3 linked regions of the Cricetulus griseus genome follow. The protein of the gene in region 1 binds, or shares a complex with, the protein of each later gene. Links are inferred from orthologs where the notes say so. Each region holds a gene or a part of one and is shown in the gene's direction. Other genes may lie near its edges.

What was found.
Region 2: the proteins of F2 (region 1) and Serpine2 are in contact, whole or in part, in a crystal structure (PDB 4DY7), measured with the Homo sapiens proteins. The link is inferred for Cricetulus griseus from reciprocal best matches to the Homo sapiens genes F2 and SERPINE2. Residues at the interface, in NP_000497.1 of Homo sapiens: His406, Tyr410, Pro412, Trp413, Trp455, Arg456, Glu457, Asn458, Leu459, Glu509, Thr510, Ile542, Asp562, Ala563, Cys564, Glu565, Trp590, Gly591, Glu592, Gly593, Cys594; in NP_006207.1 of Homo sapiens: Val225, Arg288, Ser355, Ala356, Thr358, Thr359, Ala360, Leu362, Ile363, Ala364, Arg365, Ser366, Ser367.
Region 3: the proteins of F2 (region 1) and Thbd are in contact, whole or in part, in a crystal structure (PDB 1DX5), measured with the Homo sapiens proteins. The link is inferred for Cricetulus griseus from reciprocal best matches to the Homo sapiens genes F2 and THBD. Residues at the interface, in NP_000497.1 of Homo sapiens: Phe382, Ser385, Pro386, Gln387, Leu423, Arg425, Thr432, Arg433, Tyr434, Arg436, Asn437, Glu439, Lys440, Ile441, Met443, Lys470; in NP_000352.1 of Homo sapiens: Ser424, Cys425, Glu426, Cys427, Tyr431, Ile432, Leu433, Asp434, Asp435, Thr440, Asp441, Ile442, Asp443, Glu446, Asn447, Gly449, Phe450, Asp479.

The regions. Positions count from the first base shown.
Region 1 is NC_048599.1:85,136,315-85,139,816, forward strand, and holds part of F2 (prothrombin), read left to right. Parts: coding exon 1-6; intron 7-232; coding exon 233-346; intron 347-422; coding exon 423-549; intron 550-1,113; coding exon 1,114-1,281; intron 1,282-1,695; coding exon 1,696-1,869; intron 1,870-2,301; coding exon 2,302-2,483; intron 2,484-3,502. UniProt on the Homo sapiens protein: Thrombin, which cleaves bonds after Arg and Lys, converts fibrinogen to fibrin and activates factors V, VII, VIII, XIII, and, in complex with thrombomodulin, protein C. Functions in blood homeostasis, inflammation and wound healing.
Region 2 is NC_048595.1:432,522,923-432,527,081, reverse strand, and holds the start of Serpine2 (glia-derived nexin), read left to right. Parts: upstream 1-1,358; coding exon 1,359-1,617; intron 1,618-4,159. UniProt on the Homo sapiens protein: Serine protease inhibitor with activity toward thrombin, trypsin, and urokinase. Promotes neurite extension by inhibiting thrombin. Binds heparin.
Region 3 is NC_048599.1:30,602,467-30,606,484, forward strand, and holds the start of Thbd (thrombomodulin), read left to right. Parts: upstream 1-1,217; 5' UTR 1,218-1,527; coding exon 1,528-3,261; 3' UTR 3,262-4,018. UniProt on the Homo sapiens protein: Endothelial cell receptor that plays a critical role in regulating several physiological processes including hemostasis, coagulation, fibrinolysis, inflammation, and angiogenesis.

The DNA.
Region 1 (3,502 bases):
ACTGTGGTGAGCAGAGCTCAGGGGCAGAGGGCAAGTGGGTTCATTACGGCCTTACAGAAACCTGGCTAGGGGTAGGTCCTTGTCTCATTTCATAGCTGAGTTAACGGAGGTCCTGAGAGGTTGTTGCCTGGTGGTTGAGAAGTAACTATGCTCTTAATCTTGGAGTCAAATGCCCTCCAAAGTCAAATGCCTGCAGGGGCTTGGGAAGATCTAAGCTCCCAATCTTTTACAGAGGAGGCGGTGGAAGAGGAGATCCACGATGTGGAGGAGTCCATCGGAGGGCGCACCACGGACGGGGAGTTCCACACATTCTTTGATGAGAATACCTTTGGCTTTGGGGAGGCAGGTGAGGCACCCGCGTGTCCATGGGACGCAGGGTTGGAGGGCAGGATAGACCCCTCACCATCGGCCTTGCACTGCAGACTGCGGCCTTCGGCCTCTGTTCGAGAAGAAGTCGCGGAAAGACAAAACCGAAAAGGAGCTGCTTGACTCTTACATAGATGGCCGCATCGTGGAGGGCTGGGATGCTGAGATGGGTATCGCTCCCTGGTGCGTCCTGTCCCACCCACAGCCGCTGCACTCACACAAGCCTTGGCTCCTCAAGTGACACTAGCACCCTCTACGTATCCCGAGAGAAATCCCAGCCGCCTGGCTTTATTTACCATGTCTCCTAAGCAGATAGATGGTGGAGCTGAGGCCCAGCGAGCTTAAGTAACTCACTCTCAGGCACACTATAATACAATCAGGACTTGTACCCAAATCTTCTGACTCCAGAACTATGCTAAACTATATGAAGTCTACACTTGAAGAGCTCTGGTCCCCCAGGACCGAGTCATTCTAACCTGGAGGCAGCGCTATTTCACTAGCTCACAAGCTTTCTTTTTTTTCTCTCTCTCTCTTTTTTGGGGGGTGGGGTGGGGGTGGCCACAAGGTCTCATGTGGCAGAGACTGACCTTGAACTTGTGATCCTTCTTGTTTCCACCTCCCGAGTGCTAGGATTACAGGCTTGTGCCACCATTCCAGCCCAGTAGCTCTTAATCTAGGCTCTTTTTCCACTTCTAGGACTGCTGAAGGACCAGGTCCCAGCTCCTAACGCACTCTACTTCCCGTTAGGCAGGTGATGCTTTTCCGGAAGAGTCCCCAAGAGCTGCTGTGTGGGGCCAGTCTCATCAGTGACCGGTGGGTCCTTACTGCCGCCCACTGCCTTCTGTACCCACCCTGGGACAAGAACTTCACTGAGAATGACCTTCTGGTACGCATTGGCAAGCATTCTCGCACCAGGTATGAAGTTGGTGGCTGGCGGTGACAGGCTGGGACCTCAGGGCCCATTAGGTGAGATGTGGCTCCCACTGTATAACCTCTCAGCATCCCCACTGGGAAAGCCTATTTGGGCAATGTCCTGACCCACTCCAGACACCAGGACACGGTCCAGGTGGGAGTCGCTTTCAGTTGTGACTCTGAATAGTACATGTGGCTTGTGCCCATTTATGTCTGCTGGCTATATGACTCAAAAATTCTATGTGGATATTGGACTGGGAGGAAGCTGCCAGAGGGCTGTCAAGGAAGAGGTGGTGGCTCAGTGGTCATCCTACCTCCCAGAATCCCAGGGCAGACTGTGTGTGACCTTCCTCAGTGAGCTGAGTGTTCTCACTGGGGGGTCTACAGCTCTTGACTTTTCTGTTGGGATCTGCACAGGTATGAGCGGAACATTGAAAAGATCTCCATGCTGGAAAAGATATACATTCACCCCAGATACAACTGGCGGGAGAACCTGGACCGAGACATCGCCCTGCTCAAACTCAAAAAGCCTGTGCCTTTCAGCGACTATATTCATCCTGTGTGCCTGCCGGACAGGCAGACAGCAACCAGGTCAGCACCAAGGCCTCTGCTGTGATTTGGCCTGGGTTCTGGACCTTGGGGCCTGGCACACATTTGCAGGTTGCAGTTTCATGGTGTGAATGCAAAAGTCCTTTTCTGTGCTAGTTTTTTTTTTTGGTTTTTTATTTATTTATTTATTTATTTTATTTTATTTTATTTTGGTTTTTGGTTTGTCGAGACAGGGTTTCTCTGTGGCTTTGGAGGCTGACCTGGAACTAGCTCTTGTAGACCAGGTTGGCCTCAAACTCACAGAGATCTTCCTGCCTCTGCCTCCCGAGTGCTGGGATTAAAGGCATGCGCCACCATCGCCCAGCTTTCTGCTAGGTTTTTATATGTTGGTCTCTGGGAAATAGAGTTGGTTATCAGAAGGCTTCTAGATGCTGTCAGGGACAATTCTCATTGGGTTCCTCTCTTTCCCTAAAGCTTGCTCCAGGCTGGGTACAAAGGGCGGGTGACAGGCTGGGGCAACCTTCGGGAGACATGGACAACCAGCATCAGCGAGATACAGCCCAGCGTCCTGCAGGTGGTGAACTTGCCCATTGTAGAAAGGTCGGTGTGCAAGGCCTCCACTCGGATACGCATCACTGACAACATGTTCTGTGCTGGTAAGCCTTTTGTCTTGGGTCAGGAACAGGGATTGGTAGACTTGGGATGTGGTATGGGCACATACCTTGGCTTGTACAAGTCAGAAGACTCTAGGCAAGTGGCTGAACCTTTTGATGGTAAAAGGAAGGTAAAAGTTTCCATGCACTGAGGTGTGAAGTTAGAGAGAGTGTGTTTGGCCTGAGGCCATTAATTCCTGCTCAATGCTCAATATATGTAGCTCAGTGGAGGTCCTAGGTAGGGAAAGGACTTTTATTCAGTTACTTATCACATACTTCTTGAATGCCTATTGGGTCCAAGATAACATTTGAGGGTACACAGCAGAGACCCAAATAGGTGGTCCTGAGGAAGCTTCCTTCCTAGGGGGATATGCCAATACATAAAATGTCTAGAGCACCAATTCTTGATAACAGCTCTGAAGAGGAGAGGAGCAGAGTAAAGGAGACTGCAAGGGACAACGTCAACCAAATAAAGTGTCAGAGAGGGTTGGTGAAGGCCTTTCTCAGGAAGGTGGAGGCTAAGCAGAGACTGGAAGAAGTGAATGAGGGTTGGACAGAGTGGGAGTATGATCCTGGTTTTGGGACAGACTCGGTCATGAGGTAGGCCAATGCTTGGTAGGTCTGAGCAGCAGCAGGGAGGCCTAAGGGATTGAAGTGCTATAAATCTGGCAGTCCTGGGGAGGGAGGTAAGAGAAGGCCAGGTGGAGTGGTGTACATCTGTAACCTCAGCACTCAGGGAGTAGAGGCAGGTGGATTATAGTGAGCTTGAGGCTTACTTGGCTACAGTAGACCTTATTTAAAAAATAAGCAAACAACTGGGCATGGTGGTTCACACCTTTAATCTCAGCACTCTGGAGGCAAGGCAAGGAGGATCTCTGTGAGTTCAAGGCTAGCCTGGTCTACATAGCAAGCTAGCTATGGGGCAGCCAGGGCTACATAGAGAGACCCTGTCTCAAACAAAACAAAATCCAAGCAAACAAATAAGAGCTTATTTGGTATTTTTATTGGAATTGTATTATACT
Region 2 (4,159 bases), on another chromosome or scaffold:
AAATTGGTGCTCATAGCCCCTAGGACTTAATCCCACAAGTGTCTTTTGAGTATCAGGCATACATGAACTAGTGTGGGACGTTCCCAAAACAGGGTAAGGAAGGCAGGAAGCCATAGTTTACCCCACCCTGCCCACACATTTCTTTTCCCTGTGGCCACTGATTTCCTATCACTCCAGGTCACCTGTCTCTCCAAATGCTTCCCTCTGGAACTTCCCATAGGTGACAAGGGGGTTCCAATGGCACCACAGGAGATTTGTGCCTTTTGAAACCTCGGGCCTAAAAGCAGGGATCAAATTAGTAACATCACAAATTCTGCCTTTGTTTTTGCTAAGTGCTGCCGCTGAGTTCTAACTTAATGGAAGTATTTGCTTTCCCATAAATACATGTAAACTCCTACCTCTTGTCGTAGCCAAAGAAAGCACTGTCGGTGGCAATCAAGGACTGAAGCATTTTTAAAGCAAATGGCTGTAATTGAAGTTCTCCGTGTAAGTGACGCCATCCGCACAGTTTATGGATTTAGCAATTGTTCTGCCCTGTTGTAGCTTTAAAGCTACCACTGAAATTTGTTTTAATTAACAGCCCTGTAATTTAAAAAAGTTGTGTGTGGTACATTAAAAGAATCAAGTCTGGGTGGTTATAAGAAAATCCCGACAAGCTGAATCATTCCCTCTCTTTAAAACCTTCCAAGTGGTCTCTTGTGACACTTGGTTTCTGTCTACCTTGGCCTCTATCAGATAGCCTACCTATTCTTCCTTTGTCCTGCTGTCCCTTTGCCTGGCATGCTCTTCCCACATCCATGCATGGCTAGTTCTTTTCTCAATATTTGACTGTCCTCACCGGTGTGCCTGCCACAGAGGTGGCATTCCCTAGGGTGTGGCCCTCCTATGGCCCTTCATTCACCCATATCACTTTGCTTTATTTGTGGCTTTTATTCTTCTCTGCAGTTACCTAATAGCTTCCTGGTTTTTCCCTGTGTCTCTCTAGGATACTCTTGAGAGGGCCAGGGTCACACCCATCAGATTTACAGTTGTCTGTCTAGCACTTACAGTAGGGCTTGGCACATGGAAGACTCTTGGAAATAACACTTTAAATGACTGACAGAGTTACAAGATTTAAATACTGATTTCAGCCTAGTGCCTGGTACATACTAAGGACCTAGCAGATGGAAATGTACTGCTTTCCAGCCCTGTCTGTCTAAACCCCATGCATTTGAGACTAACTTAGCACAGCGTTCAGTTATCATGAGCACAGGAAATCAGACCTAGTTGAGTTCAGAGTATTCATCCCTTTGTGTTCACAAAAGAGTGATGTGTTTCTATCTGCTTTTTCTTTTAGGCTGATCCTGTTGGAAGGAACCATGAATTGGCATTTTCCCTTCTTCATCTTGACCACAGTGACTTTGTCTTCTGTGTACTCCCAGTTCAACTCTCTGTCTCTGGAGGAACTAGGCTCTGACACAGGGATCCAGGTTTTCAATCAGATCATCAAGTCACGGCCTCATGAAAACATCGTCATCTCCCCACATGGGATTGCATCCATCCTGGGCATGCTGCAGCTGGGGGCTGATGGAAGGACGAAGAAGCAGCTCACGACGGTGATGAGATACAGCGTAAACGGTTCGTGTGTGCTCTCTCCTTCCATTTGTGAGGCCTTGCCATCAGTCCTGCATGTGAAGGGTCCTGGCTTTGTCTCTGCTTAATCTGAGAAGCAGGGCATCCAAGAAAAGTCATGCAGTGACATCTGGAACATAGGGCCAGGGTCTTTTAAAGGAAAGATGACATCCCCAAAGTTAGGTTCTGTAGCTGTTGGGTTTTGTGTTACCTTTGCCTGCCAGCACTACTGTTTTCTCCTAAAGGAAATCTTTGGTGTTGTAAGTAAGCATCTTTGTAGTACATGTCCACATTACAGACTGGCAGTATGGGAGTGAGCTGGCCAGTGAGCTCTGGGGATCTACCTGCCTCTACTTCCCCAATGCTAGGATCACAGACATATACCACCACACTGGCAGGTTTTACATAGATGCTAAGGATCTGAACTCAGATCCTCATGCTTATGTGTCAAGAACTTCACTGACTGAGCCATCTCCCCAGCTACCTTGTCTGCTGATTTGAAATCACTTATAAATCTGAATTAAGAAGCTAAATGTCTTTTTGAAAAAATACCCAGCCTTGTCTAGCCATTGAGCCTGGTAACTAACACACTTCTAATCATAGCATTTGAGATGTGAGACAGGAGGGTCAAGAGTCCAAGACCCATCTGGCTACATACCAAGCCTATCTCAAAGAGATGAGATGAACCTGGAGATCTAGCCCAGTGCTGAGGCTGGGGCTTGCCTCCCGTGTACAAAGCCTTGGGTTTGATATTTAGTTCCACAAAAGGACAAACGAACGAACAAAAAACCCAACAAACTAACAACAAATACGGTAGAGGATGATGAGAGAGGCTTAGTGTTATTGAAAGAAAAGCTTGTTTTGAATTGCCTGCTTATCCACAGGAACAGTACGTGTCTGCTGGTGGTATTTCCCTGTAGGTTAGTCCTCCCTTTCCACAACCATAGCGCCGGAGGGAACAGGACTGTTTCTGAGCTCTTCTTTGCTGTCATGCACACTGAGTGCGAACAAGTCGTGATTCATATCAAGGCAGCAGTTACCTCATTGGAAAGTGATGGAGCTTTCTTGCCACATTCTCTCGCCCCCTCCCCGCCCCTTCTAGCTGTTGAAGCTCTAAGACTCTTGGAGCTGGGTTTGTGGTAGAAGAATGCTTTTCCTTGGCTGTAGCTGATCATTGCCACTTCCTTTGTGTTTTCAGTGTGGCCTTCATATTGGGGGGGGGGAGTCATATGTTGGGAGTCCCATATACCCAGTGCTATCCCCTGTTGACAGAGAGTAAACTTTACATGCTTTTGCAGTTTGCCCACTTATTAGATGTAAGGAACGTTCTGTCTCTGGCTGGGACATTCAGGGTTGTTGGTGATTTATACTGCCTTCGTGAGTCACTGCTTAAATTTATGGCCTTTCTTGTTGCCATCCAAGCCCTGTCAGCCAGCATAGTTCCAAAATAGCAACTGGAGTTGTGTCTTGTTTTGGTTTGGTTTGGTTTTAATGCTGATCCACCTTGATTGTAGATCGGCATCTTCATGTGTTGCCCTGTTGGCTACCAATCTACCACTACCTTTTCTCCCTCTAGAATTGCCAACAGTCATATGTAGATGGTAATGTCAAGATTCATAATATATTTAGGCATGCTGGAGGCCTTCTTTGGAGCTCAAACTCAAACACTATTTATTGTAGTGATAATTCACTAAGGAAGATGCAAGATTGTTTGAGGATATGGAATATGAGCCCTGATCTTTTCCCTCAGGGAGTGTATTAGTTCCCTTTATTCATTGCTGGGACAAAATATCCTGGCAAAAGCAAGTCAATGAAAGGCAGGATTTATCTCAGTTCACAATTTGGAGGAAAAATGATGACAGAGGAGCTGGAGGCAGATGGTCATGTTGTATCCCTAGTCAGGAAATAACAAAAAAGAAACCTGGTGCCCAGGTCACTTTTTCCTGTCTTATTATGTCTGGGACCCTAGCTGAGGGACTGGTACCTCCCTGGTGTAGGCTGAGTTTTACCACCTCAATCAACCCTCACAGACATGCCCTGAGGTTTTTAATGTGATTCTAGATCCTGCTAAGTTGGCTGGTAATTGCTTATCACAAGGAGGGACTGTACATGTAGAGCGAGCAGAGTCAGAAAGTGCCAGAGCTGGAACTTGGCCTTGGAGGTGACTTTTGGCCCCCAAAGCCTGCTGATCTCCATACAGCGGTTTCCCCATAGCATGGTGTTAAGGTGGATGAAGGTTCCAAAGTCTGGTCCATAATGTAAAGCTCTCCTTGTGGATCAGGAGATGGCCTGGCCCTGGTATTCATGGAATCTGAGGAAGATGCATGTTCAGACTGACAAGTCATCCCTCAGACTCTGCCAAGGTGACTCTGGAAGGATGCTTTAGGACAATATAATTTTGGAAAGACCTCAGGTGATTAGGGCAGTCCTGTAATTCAGCTCCCTGGGGAAACCCATCTTACATCCTTATGACATAATTTTTTCTCTGTTTTTCATGCCCCCTCCCCCAAACTAAATGAAGCATGAATGAATGGCTGGTGTAAAATAA
Region 3 (4,018 bases), about 55 Mb from region 1:
TTGTAATGCTCCATTATCCTTGGATTGGTCTAGAGTTCAACAGCGCCGTCTTCTGGCAGTGGGGTGGAAGTGACGGCCGTAGAGTGTAGGAGTGTGTGCGTGTGTGTGCGTGTGTGCGTGTGTGTGTGTGTGTGTGTGTGTGTGTGTGTGTGTGTGTGTGTGTGTGCGCTCCCGCGGGCGCGCGCGCGCGAGAAAGCACTTTGATTTTGACCCAGAACTCCACATTCTTGATGAGTGCTTAAACAGATAAAAGTTCTAAGTGACAGACTCCCATCCACACCTCCCAGCGGCTGGCTGGCATCCTGCCCACAGGACCCCTCCTCTTGAATGCATTTTGTGAGCAAATGGAATATGCAGGGACCGCTATCTTTTGAGCCTCTCCAGAAAATCATCACCTCAAAAGAAAACAAGTGGACTCCATTGTAGCTCACATCGCCTCCTTGCGGTGGCTCCCAACCAGTTTCGTTGAGGGGCTCGGGAAGGGCTTGGGGTAAATAAAACAAAACAAAACATCAGAACAAAGGAATGAAACACACTTTTCCCCCACGGTGTTTTGTAGGAATAATACTCGAGTAGAGGGCCAGGATCTCTGAGCCTATACAGCACTCGCACGACTTTCTCACGCAACCAGACAGGGCCTTTCCTTAAAGATAACCTGCCCAGGAACTGGCGATAGCCGGCCAGTCGTCAGAGTGGAGAAGAGGAGCGGAGGGGGTCTGAGATTATTAGGCCAGTACTCTTGCTACTGGCGTTGTTTCCCTAACCCCGTCTAAAGTGCTTTGGGATCTAGCCCTCTGTTTGTGGCCCCACCCAGGCTCCCTGGTCCCTGGTCTTGGGTCCAGCTAGTCCTCCAAGGGATTAATCCTTGTCCTCTCCTCTTGATCTTGTTTGCTAATCCCTCCCAGTGTCCTGCAGGTTTTAGACACACTCTCTACCCGACTCTAAGTTTCTTCTTCCTAGAGCCCACCAACGAGACCATCCTACAAAGTCTGAAAGCATTCATGGGGAAGGTAAGTGTGTGTGTGTGTGTGGGGGGGGGGTGTTTAAAGACAGGCTACAGGCTACTCGCAGGCTACCCCAGAGTGTCTAGGGCGGGAACTGTCTTCTTGCTGACTTGGTTCTGTTCTTTGCTGGCGCCTTCGGGCCCCGCCCGAGGACCTCCGTGCGCCCTGGCCGAGTTTTTACTCATCATGCAGAGGTGATCCCAGGCTGGAGGGCGGGCGCAAGGCGTCCGGAGAACCCAGTAATCCGAGAATGCAGCATCAGCCCTTCCCACCAAGCACTTCCTTCCTTTTCCCGAACGTCCAGAGAGGGAGGGCCGCGCATTTATAAACTGGAGCCGCAGCGGAGTAGCATGTCAGAGGCTGACTCGCCGGTACTACGAGCCTGGGCTAGAAACGTCTAGGCTACCACAGGGGCTAGCTGTTGTCGCCTGAGGCGTCCGAAATTCCCTTGCCGGTGCTGGGTGCCTGCACCGTCTCTTGGCTAGCATTTTCCCGGGAGCTTGCACGCGAACCCCTGGACAGCATGCTTGGGGTTCTTCTTCTGGGTTTGTTGGCTCCAGCTGGCCTGGGGATCTCCGCACTAACCAAGTTGCAGTCCAGAGGCAGTCAGTGCGTGGAATACGAGTGCTTCGCGCTTTTCCAGGGCCCCATGAACTTCCTCGCTGCCAGCCTTGCCTGCGAAAGCCTGAACGGACATCTAATGACAGTGCGCTCCTCAGTGGCTGCCGATGTCATCTCCCTTTTGCTGAGCGACGACAGTAGTATGAACTCACGCCCCTGGATCGGTTTACAGCTCCCGGAGGGCTGCGGCGACCCGGGGCATTCCGGGCCTTTGCGCGGCTTCCAATGGGTTACAGGCGACAACCACACCAGTTACAGCAGGTGGGCGCGGCCCAAAGACCAGGAGTCTCCACTCTGTGGCCCGCTGTGCGTCACGGTCTCAACAGCAATAGCAGCAGCACCGGGTGAGCCGGCCTGGGAGGAGCAGCAGTGTGAGACTGAAGCCGACAGCTTCCTCTGTGAGTTCCACTTCACAACGTCCTGCAGGCCTTTGGAGGTGGATCCCCCAGGTCCCGAGGCTGCCCACCTCTCCATCACCTACAACACACCATTCGGCGTCCGTGGTGCGGACTTTCAGACTCTGCCAATAGGCAGCTCGGCTATTGTGGAGTCCCTCGGTTTGGAGCTAGTGTGTAGAGCCCAGCTTGGAATTTCGGAGGGACACTGGTCTCGGGAAGCGCCTGGAGCCTGGAACTGCAGCGTGGAAAAAGGTGGCTGCGAGTACTCGTGCAACCACAGCATGGGCGAGCCCAGATGCCTCTGCCCCACAGACACCGTCCTGCAGGCTGATGGTCGCTCATGCATAAAACCGGAGGTGCCCTCGTGCACTGACCTTTGCGAGCATTTTTGCGTCGCCAACCCGGACGACCCAGGCTCGTACACCTGTATGTGCGAGACTGGCTACCAGTTGGCAGCTGACAAACACCGGTGCGAGGATGTGGACGACTGTAGGCAGGGGCCCAATCCATGCCCGCAGCGCTGTGTCAACACCAAGGGCGGCTTTGAATGTCTCTGCTATGATGGCTTTGAGTTGGTGGATGGAGAGTGCGTGGAGCTCCTGGATCCGTGCTACGGATCTGACTGCGAATATCAGTGCCAGCCAGTGAGTCCCACAGAGTACATTTGCATCTGTGCTGAGGGCTTCGCACCCAAACCCGGGGAACCGCACAGGTGTGAAATGTTCTGCAATGAAAGTTCATGCCCGGCTGACTGTGACCCTAACACTCCTGATTTTTGCCATTGCCCTGAGGGCTTTATTCTGGACGAAGGTCACATATGCGTGGACATTGACGAGTGCAGTCAAGAGGAATGCTCCCGCAATGAGTGTCGAAATCTTCCCGGCTCCTATGAGTGCATCTGTGGGCCTGACACAGCTCTTGCTGGCCAGGTTAGCAAGGACTGTGATCCCACCCCTGTTATTGAATACAACGAGGACCATGGCTCTGGGGAGCCCCCAGTCAGTCCAACACCAGGCTCTCCCACAGGTCCGCCCTCAGCAAAGCCAGTGCATTCTGGCGTTCTCATTGGCATCTCCATCGCCAGCCTGTCCCTGGTGGTGGCGCTTTTGGCGCTTCTATGTCACCTGCGCAAGAAGCAGGGAGCCGCACGTGCAGAGCTAGAGTACAAGTGTGCATCACCAGCCAAGGAGGTCGTACTGCAGCATGTAAGGACTGATCGGACGCTGCACAAGTTCTGAGGGACTTTGCTCCAGAGACCCCAGGGTGCCTTTGTCTTTCCTGGTTCAGTACCTCTTCTCTCTATCTCTGGCCTCCCAGCTGTGCTCTCTGGCAACTTAAAAGCCTCCTGGCTGACACAAAAACTGATAACCGGAGAGGACCCTGCCCCATCCTCGTGAGAAGCAGGGGTGAGGAGGACTTGAAGCAGGAGAGCCCAGCTTCTTCCAAGTGGATACGGGACACCTGGGTGGGGGTGACAAATACACAGTGAAGATCAGACTGCAGAGCGTCCCAGGCCCTCACCTCAGGGTCCAGGATGTATAGGCGCTGCTGATCTTTAGCCTTTAGGCAAACCTTGACCACACAGGCTAGAGATGACCCAGATATTTATTTTTTTAAGTATTTAGCATTTTCTTCCCTTCGGTTTTTCCCTGCCTCTACGTCTCCAGTCCCCTTGTCCTTTCTTTCTCTGTGTCCCTCCATTTCTTCCCCTCCCCTTCACACCCCCTTCTCACTTTTCTCCTTCCAAACCTCATCTTACTTTGCTTTCACCCTCCTCTCCAGACAAAACTCTTATGTGAAACAGAAAAGAAAAAACACTACAAGCAAAAGTTGTCTTTTTCACTGGCTTTGGCAATTTACTTGGAAAATTCAGGTTTCCAGAGCAAAATAATTTTAATGAAAGTTAAAATGTTACAGCTGAACACTAGTTGATAATGCTGGAATGTCACAGAAACTAAACTCAAGGAGATTGGGGGTTTTGTTGTTGTTGTTGTT